4 linked regions of the Tamandua tetradactyla genome follow. The main gene of each other region encodes a partner of the protein of the gene in region 4 in a complex. Links are inferred from orthologs where the notes say so. Each region holds a gene or a part of one and is shown on either strand. Other genes may lie near its edges.

The links.
Region 1: TBP (region 4) and TAF1D share a complex: the UniProt entries of both Homo sapiens proteins name them as parts of the transcription factor SL1/TIF-IB complex. The link is inferred for Tamandua tetradactyla from reciprocal best matches to the Homo sapiens genes TBP and TAF1D.
Region 2: TBP (region 4) and TAF10 share a complex: the UniProt entries of both Homo sapiens proteins name them as parts of the TFIID basal transcription factor complex. The link is inferred for Tamandua tetradactyla from reciprocal best matches to the Homo sapiens genes TBP and TAF10.
Region 3: TBP (region 4) and TAF4 share a complex: the UniProt entries of both Homo sapiens proteins name them as parts of the TFIID basal transcription factor complex. The link is inferred for Tamandua tetradactyla from reciprocal best matches to the Homo sapiens genes TBP and TAF4.

Annotation. Positions count from the first base shown.
Region 1 is NC_135334.1:49,332,776-49,340,441, reverse strand, and holds the start of TAF1D (TATA box-binding protein-associated factor RNA polymerase I subunit D), read right to left. Parts: upstream 3,016-7,666; 5' UTR 2,916-3,015; exon of another isoform or gene 2,834-2,915; intron 1,458-2,833; exon of another isoform or gene 1,436-1,457; 5' UTR 1,418-1,435; coding exon 1,368-1,417; intron 771-1,367; coding exon 395-770; intron 1-394. UniProt on the Homo sapiens protein: Component of the transcription factor SL1/TIF-IB complex, which is involved in the assembly of the PIC (preinitiation complex) during RNA polymerase I-dependent transcription.
Region 2 is NC_135334.1:80,052,902-80,059,727, forward strand, and holds TAF10 (transcription initiation factor TFIID subunit 10), read right to left. Parts: upstream 1,943-6,826; 5' UTR 1,930-1,942; coding exon 1,698-1,929; intron 1,526-1,697; coding exon 1,371-1,525; intron 1,137-1,370; coding exon 1,072-1,136; intron 984-1,071; coding exon 869-983; intron 689-868; coding exon 599-688; 3' UTR 522-598; downstream 1-521. Other genes in the region: scaffold protein ILK, read left to right, coding at 140-289; TPP1 (tripeptidyl-peptidase 1), read right to left, coding at 4,263-4,403, 4,583-4,708, 4,865-5,023, 5,134-5,254, 5,697-5,761, 5,994-6,187, 6,359-6,557, 6,730-6,826. UniProt on the Homo sapiens protein: The TFIID basal transcription factor complex plays a major role in the initiation of RNA polymerase II (Pol II)-dependent transcription.
Region 3 is NC_135327.1:59,658,594-59,665,908, forward strand, and holds the start of TAF4 (transcription initiation factor TFIID subunit 4), read right to left. Parts: upstream 3,006-7,315; 5' UTR 2,983-3,005; coding exon 2,052-2,982; exon of another isoform or gene 1,834-2,051; intron 1-1,833. UniProt on the Homo sapiens protein: The TFIID basal transcription factor complex plays a major role in the initiation of RNA polymerase II (Pol II)-dependent transcription.
Region 4 is NC_135330.1:84,882,381-84,889,552, reverse strand, and holds the start of TBP (TATA-box-binding protein), read right to left. Parts: upstream 3,005-7,172; 5' UTR 2,876-3,004; intron 2,716-2,875; exon of another isoform or gene 2,567-2,715; intron 2,507-2,566; exon of another isoform or gene 2,391-2,506; intron 855-2,390; 5' UTR 702-854; coding exon 648-701; intron 1-647. Other genes in the region: PSMB1 (proteasome subunit beta type-1), read left to right, coding at 5,092-5,204. UniProt on the Homo sapiens protein: The TFIID basal transcription factor complex plays a major role in the initiation of RNA polymerase II (Pol II)-dependent transcription.

The sequences.
Region 1 (7,666 bases), on a different chromosome or scaffold from region 4:
AAATACTAATGCTATTCATTCTTAGAAATAAATCGCATTCTAGCAAGGAAGACAATTATACATTCACTCAATCAATATTTTAATCTGATAGGTATCAGGTGGGTGCCAGCCAATTCTGTCATCCAGCCTCTAAAAAAAATTTACTAAAAGCCAGGAACATTAAGCTATGTGTGGTTTAGAATTTCATTGCTTCAAAAATGAGTAGTAATATGAGCTTTAAGGATGTATTTAAAGAACTCAGGAACTGCGCATCACTCTGGAGAGTTTGCTAGAATGATTCAGCATAGATAACTGTAAGATAAGGGAAGCTAAAAAACAAAAAAAAAGATAAGGGAAGCTTCCAGAGTCAACAAATAATTTCCTGTATTTCCATTGATATAAGAGAATGACTCACCTCAAAGGTTAGAATTTTCTTCCAAGGTAATGGGTTTCTTCCATTCTCTGATTGTAAAAACGAGAACCAGGGTCCTCTGTCTTTCAATTCTTTTTTGCCTATTTGTGAACTTCTGGTGTTTCTTCTTCCTTTTGGTCTTCCCTTAGGTCTTCCTGTTGGCTTATATTTCCTCCTTTTACGTTTCCTTTTCTTGAATCTTTCAAAAATAGCTTTTAAAGTTCGTGGTATCGGTTCCCAAGAGGAATCGCTTGATGAATCTCTATTTTGAACATTTTCTTGAAAATAAAATTTCCTAACAGGGTTTCCTTGCCTCTGCTTAGGTAATGAAGGAATACACTGAGTTTTAAATAAACTGCTACCAGACGATGAGCTATCACTAGAAAAAGGGAGAAAAAATTACATTCTCACTGACTGCTTACTACTAATAATTTCAAATAGGTATCCTTCCAAAGACTAAAGTAGGGAACATGTTCACAGTAAGGTTTTTTTTCTCATGGGCAGGCACCAGGAATTGAACACGGGTCTCTGGCGTGGCAGCTGAGAATTCTAGCACTGAACCACCATCACACCACCCCACAATAAGTTTTTAAAAAATAAATGGAAGCGGTAGGAATTAGCAGAATGCTAGCCAGTGAATCCTATTCGCCCTACCTAAAACGTCCCAAAACACTTAAACTGCTTATTATCCTCCATTTGAAATATAAACTCCATTAAGGCTTCGAAAAATATTTGGCAGTCTATTAGAAATGCCATTTCAATGGCAATTCTGTGAAGTACCCTGAAATTATCTTGTATGTATAGTTATGCCAGCATCCTTTCTTTGTGGAATATTTTCAAGCGACACTCCACCCTGATATCTATTTGCTTGATATAAAACATGGAGTCAAGGTGTTAAGAAGGTATTTTACTATATAAACTTACGAATCTATTGCTGAAAACTTTCTAGTAACTGTCAACTGTTTTTTACACTTACCTTTGATCTTCAGTTTCTACAGCAGCTGTTTTGTAGTCGAGAGAATCCATCACTGATACAGCAAATATCTAAATGGAGAGTATTAAGTTCTCAAGTTACATCAACTGTGAATTAGGAAAAAAAGTCACTTGATTTACCAAGCATAAGCTTATTTAGAAGCTATCCATTTCAAATCAAATTCTAAAATTCAGAAACTGCATTCACAAGCTCCATTCTCCTGGTTGTGCTTTTTCAAATCTATGCAATGGTACAAGATCCATTCCATCCAGAAAGTAATGTCATTTCCAACAGAAGTACCGTTAGCTTTCCAACTACCAATAAATGCTGTACTTTTACCAGGAACTATACAGTAACATACAAATACCAATACAGTACCATATAACTACTGGTCATTTTCCAAGATCAGAAAAATTCACTTTCATATACAAAAGTAGACGATTAGTATACCTGAGGACCCAGTATACCATGAAAACAGATATCAACATTTACCATCCGAATCCAATGGAACATCTTAAACCCTTGTCTGGGATTTCATCTACGGTCTCTTCAAATTAACATTAACTCATCTAAGCAACCGTGAAACCTTTTCCTTTGCAATGACTAGGATGATATTCATCTTTTTAAAATTTCCCTTTAACATTGTACAACGTAAAAAACAGACGTAAAGACCCATCTTCACTACTGCATCACCGTTATAAGCGACGCCTTTTTTTCCAGTTATGCAGTTTTTTACTCTCTAGCATTCTTGGGAAACGCCAAGAGTATCGATAAGTTCGAGGATACTAAAAGGAGCAAAATGTTTCAAATATATGTGCTCATAGCCTCTAGGGTAATTTAAAAATGTTTATTACACTTTTTAAAAGAACGTAAAACTCTGAGATCGTTAATAAATCATAGGGTATCAACTGCTCAAAACATAAAAGTCTGCCCCGACGGCACACCTGGGATTAAATTTAAAAGATTATCAAAATGAAGTGCGTGCACTCAAAAATAATTCGCAGAAACTGGAAACATTCCAGCTAGGTACCATTGTTGGATTATGTTATAATCCCGTTGTTGGACTATGCGATTTGTAAGAGCAAGACAGAGCACTAAACAGGATCAAACGTAATACTTCTTCACTTACTATCTGCGACCCTGGGAGAGGTCTCTTAGGGAACTCCTAACCTCGTGGAAGGAAAATGGCGCCAAGAATCGTTACCTCGCACTTATTCCTATTAAATCACAAAGTACTTGTCTAGAATACATCCTAATAATTACATCCCCGATACAACGCAATACACGCCAACACGCATTTATTTATAGGGCCGCCGAGCTAGGCCCGGGGGAACCTTGCACCCTCTGGGCCTAACTTGCGAAGCTCGCTCCACCCCAATCAACGCTATGATCCAGGGAGAAATAGACTAGCCACCCTCCTCGACCGCCAGCCCGGAACAGCCATGTTCTCTTCTCTACTTTTTCAGCTTGGCAACCGGGCCTCGGGGACAGAAGTCGCCGACTGACTTGATTATTCTCCCGCCCTAGCACTCTACTAAACAACAACGTTACCTCTCGCAACAGGAACGGAGAAAGGGAGAACGCTAGCTTGCGACCTAGCTAATAGTTGGGCCGAAATCTCGCGAGTACAACTTAACACCAGGGAAAAAAGGGAGAGGTGGGAGGAGATAAGGACACCCAGCGCCAATTGGATCGCAGGGAAAGGAGGAGGGATTTAAAAGTAGGCGGAGCCGGAGTTTACTTACGTGAAGGGGAAGGAGTTTCCTGAGGGAACATAAAGCTTTACTCAGCTGGTTGAGATCGGTAAGTGTAATAGTCAAGAACATCTCGGCGAATGACGGAAATTATGTGATCAAGGGAGCAAAATGTATGTTAATTGCGAGGAAAAAGCCTCTGAGCTCAATTTGTTTTCGGTGGTGTCGCATTTCCTGAGTTGTCGTCTATCTTCCTAAAACCGGGTGCTGGATTGATATGTGTGTGTCTGTCTTTCGTGTGTGGGAATTCTAGGTTAGCAGATGAACTTGGGTTTGCGTTCAGTGTGAAGCATCCCTTTTTGGCAATTTTAGTCGTACAGATTGTGTTCTGTGTTAAAATATTGGAAAAGGATCGTGCTTTGACCGTGGTTCAAAACAAGTAACCTTTGTACTAACTACACCCGCTTCCCCTCTCTCCAAGAGGGAGGGAGGAAAAAAGCGCTAAACCATTGGACTTGGATTCCTTGTTTTTGTAACTCTTAAGCTGAGGGTGCCTCCCAGTAGTTGGGTGACATGCAAGAGATACTAGCTGTGGGTTTTATTATTTTTTCTGAGTCCCCCACCCCCGTAGTTCCCTGAAGGGTGTTTAAGATAAAAGTCAATTAAAAAAGGATGAGCTAGGAAAAAAAAATTGTGAGCCAGGTTGCGTTTTCCACTTTCTGGCATTTTGTATCACATGATAAACCAGTGAGGCTATCTAGTCGTGGTTTTTAGTCAGTCATCTCAGGATTGGAAGAGACCTTGAAGATAATTTGGTCGGTACCAAATTTTGCTCCAACTATTAACTCCAGGGATTAAAAAATCTGATCCTGTAGGCAGCACCAGAGAGTCAGTAGAATAATGAAATCTTCAGGACAGGTATCGTTTCTTACCATCATATACAGGAGCAGGCCAGGCTATATAGTTTGTGAGGCCAATGCAAAATGAAAATGCAGGATCTCTTGTTCAAAAAGCAGGGGGAAGAGTGCCATTATAGGTGCTAAAATTTAAGTGTTTAACTTCTTCTGTACTTTGTTTCTTTACTTGTCATGGTAGGTTTTATTTGTATTTAATGCCAAACTAAGTAAAAATTTAAAATGTAAATTATTAACATGAATTTTATCATTCATGCTTATATTGTTCAATGCCAGTTCCACGTACAAATATAAAAACATTTAACTCATGCAGAATCACTGAAATTGCATAATTAGTATTTTGTAGTTCATATAAGTTATATGTTTTTAGTTCTTATAAGAACAATGGAAACACTGCACGAAACTAACTCAACTATTTTTACTTAACTACTTGAAATGTGAATAGTATATCAAAACTCTGGAAGCTAGTAAATTTAAGTCTTAAACTCCCTCCCTTGTGGATCCACCAGAATTATGTGCTAATGGAGCATAACAAATCTATATGCAAATGAGGTGCCATGGAATGGTGATGGCCAGGCATATTGCACCTTTCTCCTCTATTTCTGTGCATACTTTGTTGTCTCATGATACTTCATTTTTAACACAGAAGTTTCAAGACAGTGACAATAGAACATTAAGCCAAGTGCCCTTCTGAGTGACTTAGTGTCTGCACCAATTGCACTCCATTCTTGGAGCTGTCCCTGTCTGGGAGTTCCATGGGTCTGCTACATCATAGATGTCCAATAAATGATGCTAAACTAGTGCCCATCAGGCGGACCATGGTGGCTCAGCAGGCAAGAATGCTTGCCTGCTATGCCATAGGACCTGGGTTCGATTCCCAGTGCCTGCCCATGTAAAGAAAAAATAAAAAAAGAAAAACTAGTGCCCATTTGCTATTTGGAATATTGATATGAAAGACATAGTCCTTTCTTCAAAGAGATCATAGACTAGGGGGAAGAGACAGAAAGCAAGTAGATGATCATATTTTGATCTGAGTGCTGTAGAATCACTCTATACAAATTCTTCCTTATTTTGAACTGAAATGTGTCCATATCGTATTCCTTTACTGTCAGCATAGTATAGTATGATGAATTCTGGTTTACCGTGAGTTAGATCTAGTTTTGAATTCTATTCCTGCCTTTTATCTGCCAAAGTGTGAGAGGTTTTGAGAGAATGTCTGTGAAGTGTGCATTTCATCATTGTTAATCAGCTTGGTTGGTTTAGTTGGTATGCCCCATTGAGGTGTTCTCTCTGCACCGCCACTTACTTAGCTGCCTTCTATTTCAACTCCTTCCTTCTCCAGGCCCTCTTTCTGGGACATTAATTCCCAATAGAATCAAATCCGGAGAATATTTGTCAATAGCTAGCCCAGGACTGTGCTCCTGGAGTCTTTTCTGAGTTTATCTTTATTTTAGAACCTTTCTAATTCCCTCTCTCTTATCACTCCATCACACATACACATATGCACACAACCACACTGCCTTCTCTGCTAACTTTACCTGCTAGAAGTTCTACATTTTTTTTTTTTTTTTTTTTTTTTTTTTAAAGGAAAGACAGAGAGAAGGAAGGAAGGATAGAAGGAAGGAAGAAAGGGAAACATCTTTAAACATTTTCTTGTTTTATTGTATTCTGTTTCTCCGTTTTTGTTACATGGGCTGGGGCCGGGAATCGAACCGAGGTCCTCCGGCATAGCAGGCAAGCACTTTGCCCGCTGAGCCACCGCGGCCCGCCCAAGTTCTACATTTTTAATCTGCAAAAAGAAAGAAAACAAAATAGAATTACTATGACTAAGAGATTTAAAATGGAGTCAGGAGGTTATTCTGGCAGTTACTTTTCAGCAAATCTCAGCCAGGTATTAAAAACTGTCAAATTGTGCAATGGTTCATGCAACAGTGTTCCTCAAAACCCTAAAAACACCATAAACAAATCACAAGATAATGAACTCAGTTAACTATCAAACCTAAAGGACATTTGGAGGGTCCCTAATACCCACCAGACACAAACAACTTGTGTGATCTTTTTCTATAAACCCTTGCCTGGAAGACCCAAGACACAATTTGGGTTGCAACCTGAATCTGTTCTTCCCTAATTGCAATTCTAAGACCCTAAATAAAGGCCTGTGTTGCCTTGCAGCGCAGGTTGTGATTTCTCCACAGGTAAAACTAATCATTGAGGCTGTAGTCTTGTGGAGTGGACTTCGTGTCCGTTTTGGTAACAAAAAACCCAACCCTTTTGAAGAGATGGTGAAGGGCATGCAGTTAGAATTAGATTTTAATTTTAACTTGAGTCTTCATGCCTGCTGCAAGCAGAAATATCTGAAGTGCTTTCATTATCCTTTTAAATGAATATAATATGTAAGATAATTATCAAACCCAGCTGTAATCATTGTGCAGGTTTTGACATGTTCGTAGTTAATGATAGTACTTGCCTGGTTGCCTGATAGAGGAAATGTGATAAAATGTTAACCTGTAGAAAATCAGGGTAAGAATATGTAGGAATTTTTTGTATGTGTTTCTACCAATCCAATTTCACAGTAAAAAGTTAAAATGCCCCATTCCTAAATGATTGTAGATTATTCAGTTCAAAAATATGTTTAAGGTATTGATTAAGAATATGTAAAGACTTGGGGCCCATTATCTAGAATTAATATTTTGTTTGGGATATCAGATTGTGCATATTAAATTATTAATGGACAATGAAAGCTGGTGTTTGACACAGTATTAAAGTAAATGTCAAGTCCCAAATGGATGCTTATTTGTAGGGAATGTATTGTCTAAAATAATCATCGAAACTAGTGTTCCAGCCCAACAAAAACCCAGACCAAAGTACATGCCAAGAAGAAAGTTACCTGTGAGTTTTAATTAGCAACTTAAGAATGGGAGAAGAACTGTTTGCAGACGATATGATACTATACGTCGAAAACCCGGAAAAATCCACAACAAAACTACTAGAGCTAATAAATGAGTACAGCAAAGTAGCAGGTTACAAGATCAACATTCAAAAATCTGTAGCATTTCTATACACTAGTAAGGAACAAGCTGAGGGGGAAATCAAGAAACGAATCCCATTTACAATTGCAACTAAAAGAATAAAATACCTAGGAATAAATTTAACTAAAGAGACAAAAAACCTATATAAAGAAAACTACAAAAAACTGCTAAAAGAAATCACAGAAGACCTAAATAGATGGAAGGGCATACCGTGTTCATGGATTGGAAGACTAAATATAGTTAAGATGTCAATCCTACCTAAATTGATTTACAGATTCAATGCAATACCAATCAAAATCCCAACAACTTATTTTTCAGAAATAGAAAAACCAATAAGCAAATTTATCTGGAAGGGCAGGGTGCCCCGAATTGCTAAAAACATCTTGAGGAAAAAAAACGAAGCTGGAGGTCTCGCGCTGCCTGACTTTAAGGCATATTATGAAGCCACAGTGGTCAAAACAGCATGGTATTGGCATAAAGATAGATATATCGACCAATGGAATCGAATAGAGTGCTCAGATATAGACCCTCTCATCTATGGACATTTGATCTTTGATAAGGCAGTCAAGCCAACTCACCTGGGACAGAGCAGTCTCTTCAATAAATGGTGCCTAGAGAACTGGATATCCATATGCAAAAGAATGAAAGAAGACCCATCTCTCACA
Region 2 (6,826 bases), on a different chromosome or scaffold from region 4:
GATGGTGGTGATGGCAGTAACTGTGGTGGGTCTGGGCTGTTCCCAGACTTGTTCAGATATACAGTAATCCTGTCCCAATAGGCCTTTCCCCACGACACTGAAATTGTGAGGTTTACCTTGTTTGTCCTTCTATTTGCAGGTGGCACTGGAAGGCCTTCGGCCTACCATCCCACCAGGTATTTCCCCTCATGTGTGTAAGCTCATGAAGATCTGCATGAATGAAGACCCTGCTAAGCGACCTAAGTTTGACATGATTGTGCCTATTCTGGAGAAGATGCAAGACAAGTAGGGCTGGAAAGTCCTTCCCTAAAAAACTCCAGGGGTGTCAGGACACAGTTGGGGGAGTGCCCCTCCCCAAAGCAGCAGGCCTCTGGTTGCCTCCTTTGTCTCCAGTCATGGTACTACCCCAGCCATGGGGCCCATCCCCTACCCACGCCCCTGTTACTGTGGCCCCAAAAGAGGCTGGGCTCAGAGCTTTGTCACTTGCCACACGGTGTCTCCCAGCATGGGAGGGATCAGCCTGCCTGTCACAATAAAGTTTATTATGAAAACAGGCTGGTGTGGGGATATGGGGACAAATACATTTAGGTTGGGTGGCTCAGGTGAAGTAATGCGGCTTCTTCACATTGATGCCATACTCGCTGAGGGCAGGTGTCAAGTCCTCCATGGTTAGAGTATACTTGCGGTCCTGAGGGGAAAGGGAAGAGCACCAGCTGAGCACAAGAATCTCAGATTTCAATCCCAGGTGGTGACCCTGAGTAGGTCTTAAGTCTCCCCTAGGACTTGGTTTCCCTAAAGGGTTTCAGGATAAGTTAAGCCTCCAAGGCTGTGAAGGATAATTACTGATTCAGTGAGCCTCCCCTCACACCTTGCTCTTGCTTCGGGAGCTGCCGGAGGCTGTGCCCTTCATTTTGCAGTGCTGTAGGGCATCATTGGCAATATCTGAGATGAATTTCTGGGCAGCTAGGGAGATGAGCCGAATTCTAGAGAGAAAAAACTGGTATGAAAAGGAGATGGGAAACAACTTCTATACAAGCACCCAGAACTCTACTTTGTCCAGTGTTTACTCACATGCGTGGGTCCGAGGCCTCAAAGCCAGCACGGTTCAGATAGTAACCAGTCACTGCATCTGGGATCTGAGAAATCAATTAGACAACTGTCATTGCTAACCTTGAGCTCTGTTGGGCTGAGAATGAGGGAAGGCAAGGGAAATGGAGAACAGGGCTGGTTATCAGGAAGCTCACAGGAAGGGGAGAGGGGATTGATCATAAGAGGAGGGCAGCAAACACAGGAAAGCACTGGGGAAGTAATTCATGGCAAAGGTTGGCATGACAGTAGGCCAAGTGGCCTTGTTCAGGCGGGAAGCCCACCGTAGGCGTGTAATCCTCCAGCTGCATCAGGAAGTCCACCAGAGGTGTGCTGGACACCACCGGCTTCACCTCTCCGTTGGCCGCGCTCGGCAGTACGTAAACTCCGTTAGACATGGCACCCTCCGGGGGCGCCGCGCCGCCCGCCGACACAGGAGCTAGCGGAGAACCAACAAAGTGAAAACGGAGGTGGGGGCGTGCAGGACCCTAGTACCCTGTCCCCTTACTCGCCGCTGGGTCGCAGACGCTTGTGCCCTCTACCCTTACTCGCCTCTGAACCCAGCCCCAGGCGCTTTCCCTCACCCTCACCCGCCCCGGCCCGGCCCTCACTCGCCCCGCGCCTCTCGGCCGTCTCTCCAGCCCGCGCCGCCACGGGTCCCGAGCCCCCAGCCGCGGCTCCAGCCCCAGGGCCCCCTGCTATCCCTGCGGGGCTGCCCTTGCTCTCCGCGGCGGCGCTGGCAGGCAGCGCTGCTGAGGCCGAGGCAGTGGGTGCCGGACCCGAGGCCGAGGCGGCGGACGCCGGCGCCGCCTCGGGGTCCGCGCCGGAGCCGCTGCAGCTCATCGGGCCGGTGAGAGAGGCGGCGAACAGAGCAGCTTCCGCTTCCGCCCACGTTACGCACACACCAGGGTGATGTCACACGCTTCACAACTCGCTCCTCCCACAGCATATTTGCTCTCTCCCTCGGGTCTCCGGCCTTAGGTTGTTTCTCTTTGGCCAATTAGGTGAACTGTCCGCAAGAGCGGAGGCCAATACCTGGAGAACTGCGCAGGCCGGGGCCAGCCTGCTCTCCCACTCAGCGGTACTCCGAGACAGTTCCGCCGGGAAAACAACCACTGTATTTCCGGGACTCTCTTGTGCTGGTCTGGGGACATTCCATTCAGCTGACGCTCCCAAAATATTGCATCGGCCAGATACCCTCGACCACAGGTTGTCTGCCAATCTGCTTTCCCTCTGGAGCCCTCATTCAGATTTTAAGAGATCGTAGTGGAGTGGGAGAGCATCCCGCGTCCCCTGTCTCGCCAACTGCCCAGAGAAGTGCAGAAGCAGGAGGGCGGGACACAATGCTCCAGTAGATGAGGAGCGTTATTTCGGCCTCGAGCAAATGACATAAGCAAATCAAAGCCAGAGAAAGCGCGAGGTTTTCAATTCGACAAGCATTTACTGAATTCTATTTGCCAACCCCTGAGCTAGAGCCTGGGAATTCAACTTTAAGTAGGACAAGATTCTAGTCCTCTAGGCACCGACGGTCTTGGAAAGCGAGACAAACAAGGAAACTGGCAATTTCATTACCATGTGGTACTTACAATAGTAGAGGTAGGCACAGGGTGTGCAGTGCAAAGGAGGAAGGGAACTAATATTTGCTGCCTACTCCAGTGTCCAGGCATTTTATCAACGTTATCCCACTTATTCCCTGATTATTCTGAGAGGCTCAGAGAAATAGAAGTATTTACCTAAGGCCTTTTGATAGTACATACCAGAATCAAGAATTTAATGGATTGATTACAAAAATCTGGGTTTTTTTGTTTTTGTTTTTCTATACCAAATTCATCTAACTGAATCTCAGGCAACTGAACAGTTTCATAAGAGAAGGTGAATTCCAAGTGTGGAGTCTTGAAAGAATCCTGGAAATTTACCAGGCAAAGGTCTAAGAGAACAGCTTGAGCAAAGGTTGGGGAGAGGGAGTTTATTGTGCAAGGGGAAGATAATCAATTTGTTCGTCAGCCACAAATAACAAAAAAGGAAGGGATCAGGTCTTGCAAGCCATGATAAAAAGCCTGAAATTTATCCAGTCATCTTTAAAGGGTTTTGATCAAGTATGACCTGATCGCATATGCATATTCTCAAAAAAGTTTAGGAAGGGCAGGAAGTGTGGACACTGTTTTTGCAAGGGCCTCCTGTTCAGAGAGAGAAGTCTTCAACTAACAAAGTAGCAGTGGAGATGGAGAGACATGGATGAGTTCCAGATATGTTTAGGAAATACAATTGGCAAAATTTATGGATTGATGTAGACATACTTACAAGGTAAAGTCAGTAGGACTTGTTGATTGAAGGTAGGGGGAAGGTAAGGTAAAGGAAATGGGAGTGTAGGATGACTCTTAGGTTTCTGGCTTGGAGGGGGCATAGTAGGAATCACCAAGAAGAAAATAAAGAGGTGGAACAGTTCAGATTTGGCAAGGAGGAAGATGAAGTGTTGAATATTATACATCTTGTATTTGAGGTATCAATCACTGTTGGGTAGAGGCTGATTTAGTGAGACAGTGATGGCTGAGATTCCAGTGATTTGTTCTAGGGGACAATGGGTACAGTGAGCAGAGCAAAAAACTAAGGATGGAGCAATGGTGAACACCAGTATTCAATGAGTAAGCAGAAAAGAGAAGTCCATGATTGAAGAAGACAGGAGTAGTCAGAGAAGGAGAAGTTAAGTCCTGGAAGCTAAGGAAGGAGAGGGAGTGGGTAATGGTGATAGAGAGCCCATAAAGCAAAGATGAAGCAGCAAGGAGGCCATTGTTTCACGGTGAGCCCACTGTCAGGGGAGGATAGAATAACCCATTAAAGCAGAGGATTCATTGCAGTGGGCTGAATGAACATGAAAAAGTGCACATATTGTGGACAACCTTTGGAAAAGTCAGGTTTAGAAGAGATGGGGCATCCCCAAAAGTTCTGGTTATAGCATCTTGCAGAGGAACCTGAGGCAGGAGTAGGGAGACCTAAGTATGACGGAACAAGGGAGGATTGGAAGTCAAGTCAAACTCACAGCCTTGCAGAGTTAGGGAGGAAAGCTGTCTGCAGCAGTCAACAGTTGAGGGTTCAGCAGGGTTTCCAACAGTGCAGAATAAGAGACCCAGCACTGGTTGCAGGGCAGGGGACATGCCAGAACTCCTGGCAGGAAAAGGTCAGGGGTTGAGTAATGTCTTTAGCAGAGCTGGGAAGTTAGGTGTTCCCCAGCCTGTCACAGGATCCCAGCCAGGACCAGAGCAGAAGCCCTGACCCTCCACTTCTTCATTCAGACAGGACACATGACAGCCACGGGTCACCTGGGGAGGAAGTAGGCATCAGATCTGGACCTGCTGGTTCCAGTACTACCAGATAGTATAGATCCTCACCCTGTACTCACAGCCCTGAGACTTCCCCACCCCATCAGAACTACCCTCAAGTTTACCTTACCATTCCCCATACTCATATGAAAGCACACACCCTTCCCTACCACACTTACATCAAAGAGTCCTGCCCCACGCTGTTGATAAAGCCTTGGGTTGAGAAAGCCGAGAGGGGGATGGCCACTGAGTATTCTGTGCTCATTTACCAGGGACAGGAGTCCTCCAAACACTGGAGTGGAGGCCTACAAGTATGAGGGTGTAAGTAGAAATCAGAGGTTGAGAGAGATTGGACTTATAGGGAGGTCTCTAAGGAGTTAGGGGTTCTGAGTATAAGGTCTTGGGGGTACAGGATGAGGACAGTTTCCTGAGAGGAGATTTAGACCCAGGCTGATTCTCACCGAAGTGCCAGAAACCCATGGAATGGGCACGCTGTTGCTGACCACCCAATAGCCATCAGAAAGTGCAGCCACATCTGGGTAGGCACGGCCACTGGCATTGAAGTAACTGGATGGTGGCAGATGAGGGCTGGAGCTCAGGAACTGGGCTACCGCTTCCTCCTAAAAGGCATTGTGGAGTGAGTACTGGCCTGTAGCCTGCCCTTTAGTCTGCTGAACTAGTGAGGATCTCGAACACTACCACCTATCCATCCACACAAACATACACATACCTGGTATGAAGGCTGTGGGAACACATTGCTGAAGCCACCACCACTGATATAGTCAACAACCTCGTCTGTGATGAAGAAGGGATTCTGGAAAGATGTGCCTCCTACTGTGGTGACATAGGGGCTGAGGGAACAAGACAGCCCTCAGGTTACAGGGAATTCAAGAGGAACTCCAAGATGTATGAGGGTGGGTGAGTACAGACTAGATCTTGCTGGATGGGCTAGACTCCATGGGGAAGGATGTACTTTGGGGTGACTAAGAGGTTTTGGGCCCTCAAGACATGGCCACAGGTGATTGGCCATACATTTCTCTACAGAACATGTGCCAAATCTTCCCCTAAATGCCTCAGGACTGGGAGGAAGAACACTTGGGGGTTGTGTCCCGCTCAGAAGGTGTGGGGCCAGGGACCTACAGGAAGAAGAGAAGGGAGTGTAGCAACTAGGGGAGGTAAAGCTAAGGGCTGAGCAATAGGAGGGCCTGGTGAGGTCAAGACAAAGATTCTACATCATGAGATCACAGGTGAGAGGCTGGTGGTCACAGGTAAGTGGTAGACTGGGGTACTTACCTAGAGGCAGGGAAGCTAGGACGGAACTGGTGTCTTCCAGAGACAGACCAACACCCAGCGCCACTGTCACCTAGGAGAGAGACCAAGTTTAGCACTTAGACCTTCATTGTGGGTTCAGAAATCAGAGTGGAAGTTTAGGTGTCAGTCATTGCTATGGAGGTCAGAGTCTAGAGGTCAGACCTATGGTCCCTACTGAGGGTCTGAGTTCAGGTTATGACTCAAAGATCAGGCTCAGGGATCACTGTAAGGTTAAAGGTCCCAGGTTGGCTGGGTAGGGATCTAAGGTTAGGGTAAGAGGTCACCTGAGGCAAAGAGTAGGGTGAGACCCCGAGCAGCGGCCTTCATGAACTCGATGTTGACCCGCTGGATGTAGCTGCTGCTGAGAGAGTCCTCATCATCTCCGTAGCTCACGGTGTGCACATGTGGCAGGGCTGACTCATTACTGAGCAGTAGGAGCCACTGTAAGAAGGGCTCTTGTGCCTCATGCCGGCCTGGATTTATGGGCAGGGGTAGGGGATAAGGGGCCAGGGGGAGAGGACAAAGGTCGTTATTGGTGGGGGCATTGTCAGGATCTCCCTTCAGCTCATGGGAGTCCCTTGAGGCATCTGGGATCAATGCCCACTCTCCACCCTCTTCCCCACCAACCAGCCCCTTGGCAGTACCAGGGTTACTATAGACCCAGGTGGAGATGTTGGCACCAGCACTCATCAGGTACTCCACATCTAGGCTGGCCTCGATCCCAGCCCTGCCCCGGCCCTGTTGTCCAACTACACGGGCTATTGATGTCTGGTGTGCAAAGCTTCCACCAAAGAGGTGCATGAACTCAGTTAGGTCTGCTTCACGGAAGTACTGCTCCAGGAACTATGGAGGGAGTCAGAGCAGGGGTCATGGGTCAGAGGACACAGTCCCAGATCACAGGCCAGGGAATGAGAGCCTAGGGGTCAGAGGCAGAGAGCAAGAAACCCCAGGCAGTAAGTCACCAAGGACACCTTGGGGAAGCCATGAGGACCTTGGGGCTGTCTGCACGGCTCACCTGGGCACAGGCCTGGCTATTGTTGGTGGTTCCAGAGCCCACGTCTTGTGCTGTCAAGTTGTATCTCTTGCGGACCACGGATGGGGTCACCCCCAGA
Region 3 (7,315 bases), on a different chromosome or scaffold from region 4:
AGTAACATAACTGACTGGAATTCCTAATTAGGAGCTCAAGTGAAAAGGGACATGAAGAAAGGGATGGAAAGCTTCTATTTTCTAGAAAGCAAAGGCCTCAACACTTGCCACACATGTTAACACACACTATCCCCTGCCCTCAGAGAGATGAGGAAGATGCTGAGAAGTCATGCAGAGAAGCAACATTTCCACCCATACGTCTACCTGTCAAATACAGACACCCCTAAAAACTGCCATTAAAACAGAAGTTGAAAATGACAAAGACGCCCTTTGCTGCCCTCCCCAACAGAAATAAAGCAACAGGGCCACCTATGTGAAGGCTCAGATGGAAGTGACCTGCTGACCCCCAATAACTACAAATAATGACGGCTGCCAGGGGACGGAGAAGGCGTGGGACACACCAGCTCTAAGGAATGAAAACACAGCCTGGGGGGTAGCCTGAGGAGGTGTAAGGGAGGGGCCTGGCATGAACAGGACCACTAAAAAGGCATTTTTATAATTAGATAAAAAGCTAAGTGCATAAAAAATACCCTGGCATTTTACACAATATACAGTGCCCACAAATTATCTTTAAAGGTTACTAAAGGTCAGCCATGGAACACTTTCCACCAGGTTGAAACATACAAATGCAGGTGAGGAGCTGATTAGAGCCCCGACACACTCCTTGGGATCACCAGGGAACTCGGTATCTCTCAGGTATTTCTGTATGTTACCATTTTCTCCTGGAGTACTGAAATCCCCGCACCACCCCAAACAGCTGTGTGGGCTGTAAAATGCCAAGGTGTGGGACCACAGGAAAGCAGCTGCCTGTGGAAGCCTGGCCCCCACTCCTGCACCTTCTCTTCTTACACTGCTGAACCGCCTCCAAAGTGACCAACCACTTAGCCCAAGGGGATGCAGGAGGTGGCCATGCTCTCACCTCAGTAACTGCTGCTGCAGCTGCGCCACACGTGACAGCAGCCTTGGAGTGCCTTCTCCAGAAGGGCGAGGCGGAGAGGACAGAGCCCAACTGGGGAAGCCGCCCCCTCCCAGAGAACTCCTAAGCCAGAGAAGTGTGCCATGCTGCTGGGGCATGTCCTGACCTCACAGAGGTGACAGGCCAGTGGCTGATGCAGAAACCCAAAGGGGGAGCCTGAGACCGAGCCCTCAGTCACCAAGCGTCCTGGGTCCAGTTTCACCCCACGTGGTCCTGTGCCACTGCTATCTCTAGAGGATCCTGACAAAACTAACCACACATCCTTTCCAAGCAACAGTACTGAGTTTAAAAACCATACCGGTGAGCTAGAGAATGCCAAAGGAACGCCCCAGAGCATGGATGTACAGTAAGGATGGTGACCATGGGGGCACACCCGGGACCCCTCTAGCACTCCACCCCTAAAGGCCTTGCAATTGTAAGATCTCTATCAGACAGGTATCGGAGGAAAAGCCCTCCCCCTCTCAAAGATGGTGGTCACCCTGCCTTGAGGTCAACTTCATAAGAGTGATCTCTCTAGCCCACTCTACGGGGGAGAGGCGGCGGCCACCACAGCAAGGGCAGTGAGGACACAGGCCATACACCTAAGTCCAGGAACCAGGAAAAGCTGGTGGTGCCCGAAACTGCCAAGGTGGGGCCATGCTCCAGGCAGGTCCCCTGTCACCACGGGAGGTGGGGTGTACGGCACACACGGGGCCCTGAGGGCCAAGACAGAAAGGCGGAAGGCCCTAAGGCGAAATCCTGGCAGGGAAAGCCAGAAAGGCAGACAGCAGCAAGGGGAAGGCCAAGCACCGCGGCTGTACCAGGCTACAGCCGTGATGTCACAGATGGAAAACCCACGCTGCTCCAGTGGGCGGGCACCGCGTACACACGCACGCACACACACTCAGGCAGCTTCAGGCCACCACAGCACCTGGGCGAGGCACAGCCTCAGCAAGCCCCCAATCCAGCCTCGCGGCCACCACAGCCCCCAGGGCCCACCGCGGACTCTGAACGTTTCAGCCGGCAGGACTTCCTGGAAGCCGCTGCGGAGTCAGCCAGGCCCACTTGCTCCTCCCGCTGAGCGCGCCCCACTTACCTGGGGGCAGCTGAAAGTTCTGAATGTTGGTGGGGTTCTGAGGTGGCTGCGGCAGGCGGGGGGCTAAAACGGTGGGTGTCAGGGTGGCCCGGATCCCGCCGGAGGTGGCCGTGGGCGTCCTGGGCAGGTTCTGAGTGCCGGCTGTGGCAGGGCCCTTGGGCAGCCCCGTGGGGGTGCCAGGGGCCGGCGGCGGAAGGCCGGGCGCGGCGGGCAACGCCGCAGACACAGGCGGCCCGATGGCCATGCCGGGCCCTGCGCCCCCCGCGCAGCCGGCCGCCAAGCTGGGCGGCGGGGGTAGCGGCTGCACCACGGTCTTCGGGGACTCGGCCTTGCCGGTGGGCGCGGGAACCGCAGGCGCTGCAGGGGGCGCGCCGGACCCCGGTTGACTGTTCACCAGGGTGGTCGGGGCCGTCCCGGAGCCGGCAGGGGCCGGGGGGGCGGCGGCGGCGGCGGGCAGGCCTCCCGCACCGAGCGCCGAGTTGATGACAGTACTACTCCCGTTCTGGGCGGCGGCGGGGGGCCCCGGGGCAGGAGCTGAGGCTGCGGCCGGGGGGCCAGGCGGCCGGGCAAGGGCCGCGGCGGCGGGGGCGGGCGGGGGCGGCTGCGGGGCGGCGGGGGCGGCTGCGATGACGGTGGGCGCCGAGGAAGCGGGGGCGGGGGCGACCGCGGCTCCCAAGAACGAGGCGGTCTGGATGACAGTGCCGGGGGCGGTGGCCGGGGGCGCGGGGCCGGCGCCCGCCTTAGCCAGCGGCAGCAACACGGACGCAGGCCCGTTGTTGACCAGGGCGACAGCAGGTGCGGCAGCGGGGGACGTGCCGGCGAAGGCGCCCCCGGCCAGGTGCGAGTTCACCACCACGCTGCTCCCGTTCAAAGTTTGCACAGCGCCGGGGGGCCCCAGCTTGCCGTTGCGGGCGGCCAGCGCGGTTGCCATGGAGGTGCTCAGGACCACGGACTTGCCCGGCGCTGCGGCGGCGGCGGCGGCGGGCTCCGGCCCTGCGCCCGGGCCGCCCGGGGAGGGGGAGCAGGCGACGGCGGGCGCACAACCCGGGGACGCGGCGCGGCTGGCGGCGGTGGCTGCGGCGGCCTCGGGCGGCGTCCGCACCGCGCTGTGGTTCGTCACGGCCCCCGGCGCCGCTCCGGCCCCTGCAAGAACAACGAGAGCGCGGCGGTGAGGACGCACCCGGCGCCCGCCAGCCCGCCGCCCGCCCGCCGCTGACAGCGCCCGCCCGCGGGCCCGGCCCGCGCGCCGCTCTACCTGCGGGGGGCCGCTCCGGCGCCGGTCCCGGTCCCGGCGGGGCGCCCTCGGGCGGGGCGGCGGCGGCGGCCGCGGGGCTGCCGCTCACAACATGGTTCCCGAGCGCGCCGGCGGCGGCCGCGGCCCGGGCCTCGGGCGGCCGCGCCGGGAGGTGGTGGTGGTGGGCCGCGCTGGCCGCCAGCTGCGACTCGAGCGAGCCCACCAGGTCGCTCACCACTTTCTCGTCCACCTCGCTGTTGAAGAAGACCTCGTCCAGCAGATCGGAGCCCGCCGCCATCTTTTCTCCTCGGCCGCCGCCGCCGCCGCCGCCGCTCGGGCCGAGGGCGCTGGGCGAGGAGGAGGTTCTGCGCGGGGCGGGCGGCAGGCGGGGCGGGGGCGGCGCGCGGCGGGGGCGGGGCGCGGCGGGCGGCGCGGGTGGTGGCGCGCGGGGGGAGGCGGCCGGCGCCAGTGCGCAGGCGCGCCCGGGCGCCCGGCGCCTCGTGATTGGCCGCCGCGCGCGCTTAAGAAGCACGGCAAATGGCCGCGAGTCGGAGAGGCTGGGGCGAGGGCGAGCGGTCGGGGACACAGAGCGGCGTGGCGGCGCGGCTCTGCAGAGGCGGCTAGGGCGGCGGCGAGGGCAGGCGGGCGGCCGCAGCGACGCGAGGCCCGGGCGGCCGGGTGGCCGGGCCGGGCCAGGGGCACGGGCGAGCGAGGGGCGGCGACAGCAGCTATCTCTTTGTCTCGGCGCGCTCCAAAATGGCTGCGGCCGGGCCGACTGGGGCGGGCGAGGCAGCGAGGGGCGCGGAGGCCGTCGTCCGCTCCGGGGCCGACCGCCCCGCCGCCCGGGCCCTCGGGAAGGGCGGAAGCTGAGGCCCGGCGGCGGCGGCGGCGGCGGCGGGGAAGCAGTACCCCCGGCGTCAGCCGCCATGGCTGCTCAGGCCGTTGAGCGCGGGAGGACGGACGGAAGAACGGAGGACGAGCAGCGGCGGCGGCCAGCGCGGCCTGGGAGCCGCGGGGCTTGGGGAGTATGCGCCCGCCCCCCTCCGGGCCGGGGAACACCCGGGCAGGGGCGGAGCCGGGGGCGGGCCCGAGTGGGCGCGGGGCTGTAGCCTCCCCACGAGGACCCCGTGTCCCGCGTTGTCGGCGAACGCGGGTCGAGGAGGCCGCAGGCGGGGCGCCGAGGGCCGGGCACGGGTGGGCCGGGCCGCGTACACCTAATGTGCTTCCTGTACAGTAAGGAGGAGAGCGACGCGGCCGCGTGCGCGGTTTCCTCCTGGGAGTCCTGCGCCCCCAGCGTTGGGGGGATGCCATGGAGCCGCCGCCTTGGTCAGCAGGGGGCGGGGGCTTGAGGGGCCCCAGCCAGATGAGCCTCGCAGTACTGGACTGAATCACCGGCGTTTACCCCCTTAATATGACCAACTGTTCTTGGGCCTTTCCCTCAACTTTAGGTCAATAAACGGAGTTTTTCAAGGTACAAGAAAAAGACCTGACGCTCAAGTGCTTGTCATGTAATCCGACTCAAGTCAACCCTCCTAGGCAGGAATATCTCATAAATTATTGGGTAAGTGGACAGTGCCCTTGAGAACAAAATAAAATTTTTGCATCACTAAGCAATCAGATCTAGAGGTGATTTCCTGTTCTTTATTTCCACTTTTTTTGACCAAGTAAATTATCCAAAACGATATTGACAGCACCTACTTCATAGAAATATTTCACTTAAAGTTACCTCTTTCTGGATGTTTACTAGTTTGATTTTGTTTTCACTCCCAAGATGGTGTAATTGGACATTGCTAATAGTTTTTTCTTCCTCTTTTTTTGAAACCCTTTCCACAGAGAAATGGCCCCCTCCTCAGACCTCACAACATGCGCTCATAGGGTCGTCTCTAATTACTGAAGAGATAATCACCACAATAAGCACAAATCTTCTCACAGTGAATGAAATTGTTGACATAGTAAATTATTTTTAAAACTGCCTAAACAAAAGAGACTGCTCAGCTCTCAAGAACAGTCTCGCTGGGGCTTTGTGTGCCTGTGTGTGTTACGCGTTGCAGTTTTGCCTTATGATGTGTGGCTATGTTCCCTCACACCCCCACCCCACGTTTATTCTCTTGAAAAAAATTATCAGCAGTGGAGGCTAAAACCAAGGAAAGAGGAAAAAAATGTTTATATGTCCTATAAACATATAACCTGAATTTTATACTTGAATTTTGGCCTCCAGAAGCAAGGCTATCATTCATGAAAAGTATCCTGGAAATGAAAAAATAAGGAAAGAAAATTTAAATCTTAGGCTTTCACCCCAGTAAGTCATTAATTGAGTATTGAGCTGCAGTGTAGAAGCCCAGACTTTGTAGGTGAACTAACCAGGTAGCTGGGATGAGACATTGGGTATGGTGGGGACTGAATGTTAAAAAGCCAAGGCCCCATCTCCACAGGGTGGCCTTGAGCAAAGAGCTCAGTGTGCAAAGACAGTCTGATTTTTCAAATGATAGAAATTTGAACTTTTATTTTAGGTCTTTTGTGTCTTAATAGCTAATTAGAAAATTTTTAAGTAGACCTAGCAAAACTCTCAGCAGGCCACCTTCATCCCGGTGCGCAGCATCTGTTGTAGGAAATGTACATTTGGATAAGGTTATCTGTACCCAAATACTCAGGTAGAGTAGTGCAAACAGCTGGGCTTCCAGGCAGAACACTGCACACCGCATACAGTGAGACCCTGAATCTGGGGCCCTGTGTCAGAAGCCTATCTTGCCAGGCAGCCCGGTTTTGCTCCCACACTCACATCAGTGAGTGCTTCAGTAGAGGAGCCAGCCATTCCCCTTAGCACATGGCTTCCCACATTTGCTGTAGCCCCACCCACTCACCCCTGGAACCCTCCAGTCCAGATCTGTCCTGGAGCCCTGAACAGACTGGATTCATCACAAGTGCACACTGCAGAAAGCTCGCCTCCAGTTCTGCATTCTGTCCCCAGTCTGCCACCAGGCTTGCTTTGGACCTCCGGTTCACAACCTCTCCCATACACAGATGCTGTGGCTGACATCACTCCCAGAGCCCTCTGCAGCAACCTCAAGACCAGCAGAGAGAAGACGTTGCCACGAAATCAAAAGGCACTTGTCAGCCTGACCAGCCCATTCATCCCAGGGAGTCCTATAAAAGAGGAAACATTTTGGAGCATGAGAGATTCGGAGAGAGCAGAGAATGCTGTAGCACCATGAAGCAGAGAGTCCACGAGCCAGCAACCTTTAGAGATGAAGAGGGAAGAGGGGGAAGCCTGTGACTTGACAGGTCTGAAGTAGAGCCTACTGCCTGGGCAAGTCCCCTCCCCACCTCTCACTTGCCAAAGTGACAATGCTTAAATCTTCTTGGCCAAGCCCCCTCACCCAGGTGCAGTCACCAATAATAATCAGAACCAAGGCACTAGATGCTCACCATGTGCCAGGCTGAGTATGCCCCACAGATGAGGGCCTCAGGGCTTGCAAAGGTAAAATAAATGGCCCAAAGTCTTGTTCCTGGTGCGGGCAGAGCTACCTTAAAAATACACAGGACTCAGCCTCTCATGCTCTTTCCAGGCTTCTACGGCTGACTGCCCTCCTCTTTCCATACAGGCTCTCTCCAAGCATGGCAGAACACTGCTGATTAACAGTCCGCTCACTGTCTTATAATCCAAGTCAGGCTCGCTTCTTCTCTGAGACTGACCCAGATCTCTCTGATGGCAGTTGTAGGTGTTTGCAAACTCTCCAGTGACTCATTGTTAGCACTCTCTTGGCTTACTCCCACTCACCATAGCCAGCATGAATGATTGGGCCAGCTTAAGGCAGAGAAGAGCTTGTTCCAAGGTTCAGGGGAGGAACTGCCCTGTCCTGACAGCACTCGGACAAGCCCAACCTCATGTGACATTTCCTTCACCATCCCAAAGGGCAAGTGAGGAATGGCCTTAGGCTCAAGAAAGTGGAGCCTAATGTCTTCAAGACCCTCCTTGTTCTTGTTTGCTAGTTGCTGGGATGCAATATACCAGAAATAGAATGGTTTTTAA
Region 4 (7,172 bases):
AATTTAGTGAGCACAACTTTCAAAATCAAAGACTCTATAATCACTTGGAACATTTTCACAAGTATTTATCAAAAGAGTAAGTGTTTAACGGATAAATAATGGAATTTTGCCTCTGAATAAACTTCTTGAAACATTATCATGTTTAGTCATAGCCTAATAAGAACTTCTCAAGAAAACTAATAAGAAAGGCTTAAAAAGCTAGATATCCGTTTCCTTATTTTTTAAATTAATTTTTTAGAAATATAACAAACAAACATTCTTAACATATGGTCATACAAATATACATATATAATCAGTAATTCACAATATCATCACGTAGTTGCATATTCATCATCATGATCATTTCTCAGAATATTTGCATCAATTCAGGAAAAGAAATAAAAAGAAAAAGAAAAAAAACATACATACCATACCTCTCCCTTTCATTGATCACTAGCATTTCAATCTACTAAATTTATTTTTACATTTGTTCTATTATTTATTTTTATTCCATTTGTTTTATGCATCTGTCAATAAGGTAGATAAAAGGAGCATCAGATACAAGGTTAGAAATAATTTTCAACACTACATAGTTAAACCCCCTCCTACCTTTTCTACTGTTTCTTACAATGTCTTCCCTACCTATGCCCTCCCTCCAGCGGTGTTACCTGGGGTGAGGCCAAGCCCTGAGCATAAGGTGGGAGGCTGTTGTTTTGATCCATGATGTTCACTCTCTTCTTGGTAAACCAAAAACCCTTGGACTGGAATCTCTCTCAGCATTCAGTCTTTTCCCTGGAGCATCACCAGTGCACTCCTACCAATTTCCTCAACTCTTTGGGTTATCTTCATGCACACTGAGGATAAGCGATGCTGTTCTGAAAAAGTTTGAAGTTTAATGCACATTTCTATTCAAACATTTATCATCTAATAAAAAGTTCTCATATAGCACTTACAGGTCTCAAAGTTGCAGGTTAAATATAAAAGAACTACATACATCTCAATTATGTGCCTGGTTCACAGCAGGCACTCAAATATTTGCTGAATGAATAAAAGAATCTGATGATCACTTTGAGAGGGCGAAAGTTCCCAAAGACTACATTTTCTACATACTCATCACCAAAAACAGACCAAACCAAATCAAACCAAACACATACTAAAACTCAAAATACCCTCTATTAGTAAGATCAAAATGAAAAAAGAAAACTGTGCTGCTGAAAATAAACATATCAGAGATGTAAGAAAAGTATACTTTTCTAGACACTGTAACCCTAAAATAATAATATAAATGTATAAAGTATAAAGACAAAGGGGATATAGCCACTGACATCATTCAACTGAAGGGTGTGCAAATATTTACTGCAACATTTTGTATGTGCTATCATGGAAGGCATATGTGTCTTTGCAATTTCTGCACCAAGCACAGGGCCTGGAACATAGTTATGCGATCATAAATGAGTGAATGTAGATATACATGAATGAATACATATATGGTATGGAAGAGAAGGAAGTATGAACTGTGACGCACTCTGGAGACAAGGCAGTGTTTTCACAAAGCAAGGACCATGTGATTTGAGTCTAGCAAGGTAAGACTCAATCTGTATTTCAGGCAAAAGGAAGATCATGCACAAAGGGGAAGAAAAATAAAAGCAGCTTAGTTTAGTTATCTAGAGGGTAGGTGCAAGAGATGAGACAGAAAATATAGTTGGCATCCCATTATGAAGAATTTTGGGCATTATCACATAGGCACTAATGGCAGTTACACAATCCTGAAGCGTAGAATGAATAGATCTGTGTTTCAGAAGGGCTATTTTGGCAAAAATGTGGATGAATTAGAGGGTAGTAAGACTAGAGAAGGGAAGCTTAGTTTAAGGGGTCGCTGCGTAGTTAAGGCAAGAGATAATCAAGGCAGGATTTAAAGCACCGTAAATATCACTACCTAGAAATTTATCCAGAGCCTTTGGTATCTATAGACTATCTTTCACAAACTAAAAGCCTAAAGAAGCCTGAGAACCTAGACTGGGAGTCTTACGTCATAATCGTTCAGCGCTAATCCCAGAAATAGCCCATCACTTCCAGGATGGGAGAGACTGCCACTTCCTCACCTATATCAACTGTACTGACTTATCCTTAGAAAAGATCATTGTTGAGAGAGTGTCTCCATGTTTTGGAAGCTGAAGACATCAAACAAGCTCTTTTGTTTTCTGAAGGCAATGACTGATAGTGAAGAGAACCAATGAATTCTGCACAGTCTTCTAGCGTCTGCATAACCCATCCAGCAGTCTGTATGAGGTCTCTTTTCACAGAGAACGTTACCTGGAGCTTCACACTGGATAATCACACTGGCCTGACTCCAGACATGTAGGCATTGTAAATACAGCAGTGCGAATTTATTTATTTAAGAGAAGCCATACCGAGCCCGAAGTCTCAGGATTATGAGAATCCTAAAAAGGCCCCAAGCAGAACTTCACGATAAAACCAGCATGGGAGCAAAACCAGCAGGCCCAGGCCAGAGTTAATCCACCGTCCACTGCCGAAGAGAAGAGGCATGACAGAAAAGGACAGGAAAGATTATGGGTTTCCGACACACCTGGCTGTCCTCCGCTCTGGGCCCCTCTAAACGCTCAGCACCCAACATTTGCGCGGCGGGAAGCGGCCTTGCGAACCACAGCCGTGCAGCGACCCGGCTGGGGGCAGCGGCCGAGGCAGGCGGGCAGCGGGGACCGGCCGGCCGGTGGGCGGCACGGGCCGGGAGGAACGTCCGGCAGCCCGCGGAGCCTTGCGCGCCCAGCTCCGCGTCCCCTCCCCCTTCATCGGCCCGAGGACCTCGATGCACGAATCGCCATCCTTCCGCACACACAGCCCTCCCGAGAACAGAGAGAGTCAAAGAGGCCGTTACCTGGAGTCTCTGAGGTAACCGCCACTGGCCCACACAAACCAGATTGGGCACCCGCCACCGCGACCCTTCCCGACCCTATTAAACACCGGCGCGCGCTGGATGACGTCACTTCCGCCAGTGCCCCCTCGGCTTCAGCGAGCTAACCATGCTCGAGTGACGGCCATGGGAAGTGTGGGCACATGTCGCTTCCCTATTCCTTGAGCGCTCGGTTTACGGGAAATTAGGGTGGGAGCTCTTCGGAGAGTTCTGGGGCGGGGCCGCTTTGCCATAATACTTCCTAATTGGTCGGTGATGGATGCAGGAAAGCAATATATGCTTAAAAAAAAAAAAGAAAAAATATATATTTAAACCAAGTAGTTTTGTAACCTTTGGCAGTTGACATCTGTGCCTGGGTTTCTTCGTCTTTAAAATGGGATGATACTATTTACCCTGCAGAGATGTTGTGAGATTCAGTTAATAGATGAACAGTGCCTGGCACATGGTAAGCATTCATTGAAGGTTACCTAATTCTTCTTAAAAATATATAATGATAAGTAAAACAAAAAGATAGCCTTAATAAAGAGATTCAATTGTATTTATAATTCTGCTAGTAACATCATGATGGTTGATCTCAGTTGTCAACTTGGCTAGGTTATGGTGGTGTTTGGTCAAGCGAGCACTGGTCTTATTGTTTCTGTGGGGGTCTTTTGAGATGGATTTAAGTCATTGATCAGTTCATTGCATCTACTGTTGATTGCATCTATAATGTAAAAAAGATATTGCCTTCAGCAATGAGAGGATTCTTCTTATCCAACCAGTTGGAGGCCTTAAAGAAAGAACTGAGGATTTCAGCAGTCAGAAAGAATTTCTGTCTCTACTTCAGCCAGTCAGCTTCTCCTGGGGCATTCAATGACATCATCACAGAGTTTCCAATTTGCTGCCTGCCCTATGGAATTCAGTTTTGTCGATCCCCAAGTTTCTGTGAGCCAATTCCTATAAGTCTCTTAATATTTACATATATATATATATATATATGTATCTGCCAGTTCAGTTTCTCTCAGAGAACCCTATCTAATCCAACCATTTTCGGCAATCTTAGTTGTTTCTTAGTTCGTTTACTTCTGTATGTTTGATTAGAACCCAGCACACCTTGATTTCTCGCTTCTAGTTTTTTAAAAATGAATAATCATATATTGTACTGCTTTGTTTTTTATTTGCTCTTTATTTTTTCTGTTTTATCAGTGAGGTGGTCAGCAACTTAAGGATCGGAAGTGTTATCTATGCTTTTTGTATCGCGTACTATATCTGGCACCTTGTTAGCCTATGGAGAGAACTGAATAAGTACAATACCTCTTTCTGCATAACATCAAAGAAAATCCTTTGTTTATTTATGGGAAATATGGAAAATATTTCAACATTTAATTAAACAAGTACTTTCAAAAACATTTTCTGATCCCAGATTTTCTGTATATATCGTGTAGTCCACCTTGTCTTGCCAGGAACCTGCAGAATAGAGTCTGCTTAAATTCGATGGACCCTTAAGATTGAAAAATGAAGCAGGCCAGTTGATAAGCAACAAGGTAACAGTTCACTGGAACTCAAAGCCTAGGAGGCTGGTCCTGGGCGGGTGCAGGGCATTCGGAGCAGCACTGCGCATTGCTTGGCGGGTTACAGCGTCTACGCAGGCCAAGGAAGGTATGGAGCAAGGTTGGGATTTGCAGATGGTAAGCATGTCTTTTGGTTTTACGTTACGTGTTTTATGGCTAGAGTATATACCTAGGATTGGAACTTTTGGCCCACAAGGTATGCGTATCTTCAATTATGCTAGACGCTAATCTGTTAATTGGCTATTCCAATTTACATTCCCACCAATAGCGTTTTCCAGTTTCCGTTTCTCCTCATTTTTGCTAATATTTTATATGGTCAGACTTTTAAATCTTTGGCCATTCGGAGGGAATTCGAATTTTTCCGTAAGAAAAAAACCCACAAGCCCTTTACATTTTTGTCTGCTTTTTTTGGACTAGGGAGCGCCGAGGTACCGACACATCCTGGCAGCGCCGGTGACCTCCAGGAGCACCGAGGAGTGCATGATAGAGCGGCTTGGAGGTGGGCGCCGAGGAGCAGCCGGAACTGACGTGTTCACTTCCGGAAGTGAAGTGAAGTCACTTCCGGCTGGAGCCGCCATCTTGCTGTGAGACAGCAGGTGTCGGAGCCGGAGCTGCATCTGGGGCTGAGCTATGTTATCTTCAGCAGCTATGCACTGTGGTCTTGACCGAGAGCTGGGGATGGAGCCATACAGAACCGCGGGTCCCTCCCAGTTTCGCTTTTCACCCTACGCCTTCAATGGAGGGTAAAATCCATCGAGAGCCGCCGCTTTTACTTTCGCCCTTGTCCACTCTGCAGACGCTTATTTGGGGTCGCCGGCGGGAAAGGCCCTGCCCTGTCTCACCCTTCAGGCCTTCAGGACCCTTAGCTGTGTGCGTTCACGCAGCGGCACAACCCCTTCCCTTTTCTCCTTTTCCCTGTGTTTCTCTGTTCATGCCTGGCTTGCTCGGTTTCGCATTGCGGTTTTCAGGGTTTCTTCTTACAGTTTAGTCGTTTGGGTCTTTATGTGGACGACTAGTTTACGGTATAGCTTGCTTCTTGCCGGAACGAGGCAGTAAATAGAAAGGGAAACATCTGCTGTGTGGAAGACCCTGTCGTGTTTGAACACATTTCCCATGTCAGCAGGTTAGGACAGGTTCAGGATTTGAAATAAAAACGTTATAATTGAACCACGTTGGTAGAGGCTAGTTTTGTTGCAGCTGAAACGTAGTCAAAAGCTTAATCATTTTCTCATAAGTTGAAGCTGGCCAGACTTAATAGATTATTCATTTTTTTTCTTTTTTAGAAAGCTTAGCTTAAGTCCAGAAAAAAATGCTCAGAAGGGGTCCCTTTTGATATGTGTATTTTTTCATGTTTTTTGGTAACAAGCTTTTTTTTTTTAAGGTAATACTTTCCCCTGGTAGTGTACCAGAAGAATCAGTTAGGACTCTGACAGTGAAGAGCTATAAATAGAAGCGGTGGTTATACTTTATCAGTCAGACTTTGTAGAAAAAATTGCGTACAATTCGAACAGATAGTTCAGAAAGACCAAAAACATTGATTAGGTCCTTATGAATTTGAAATGTGGATGCAGATTGTTGGAAAGCAAGAGTATGTTGGAAACCAAGAGTTAAAGGCTGCGATTTTAGACCTAGTTTTGCCACCAAAGGGCTGTGCAGTTATGGGATACCTCTCTCAACCTCTTGAGCCCCAATTTTTTTCATCTACCTTAGTTCTTAAATTTTGGGGGAGAATCAAATGAGAAGCATTTTATAAATGGCAAGGAGTTATGTTACTTTAGTTCCCCTAGTGGCTGAATATTAGATGATATTGGCCTCTTTTTTTAACAAATGAACCTGAGGCTCTTAGAAATTAAATTGTCCCTGGCTACAACAGCATACAGAACTGGGGTGAAGTTGAGCCAACACTTGAATTCATCTCTTTCACCCAACAGTTTTTGTGGGCTCCTTCTCAGCACTTCCTGTGATAACTAATTTCGTTGTTATATTATTGTAAGGTGGATTAGACCCATTTCATAAGGTAGCTGTAAATTCTTTATAAGAAGAATTTTCAAGGCATTCAGTGTTCAGTACTTGTCACTCATTCTTAACCCATTGTAATCTAATTTATGCCATTACTGCCTTAAAAGTTACTCAAGACTTTGTTATATTCTTACCTTTTCTCAAACTTTGTTATATTGTTACCTTTTCTCAAACTTTGTTCTTTTTCTTTACTGTTCATTGCTGTTGGCTCTTAAAACTCTACTTTTTGCTTCTACAGCATAAGGCTTAGTTTTGTACATCTTTCTACTCTTAACTCTTTATTTTATTTTTTTAAATTTAGTACCAAATAAACATTTTTTGCTTTAGTCTCACACGTAAGGTAAAATTTTAAAATATTAATTATGATCTGTTTTCGGCACTCTGCACTAATGACATTCCTTTGTTCTTCCTCATGCAAAAACGTTCTTTAAATTTGTGCATTTAGTCACCATCACTATACACTTTAGGTGTTCCTAGATTATACCATCTCAATCTTTAACGTCTTATCTTTCTTTCTGATTTCGTTTGTGCCCCCAGCTCTCCTCCCTCTGTCATTCTCACATTCAGCCTCATTCAATGTTCCAACATCATTGTATTACATTTAGGTAGTATTGTGTTGTCCATTTCTGAGTTTTTACATTCAGTCCCGTTGCACAATCTGTATCCTTTCAGCACCAATTACCCAACATCTT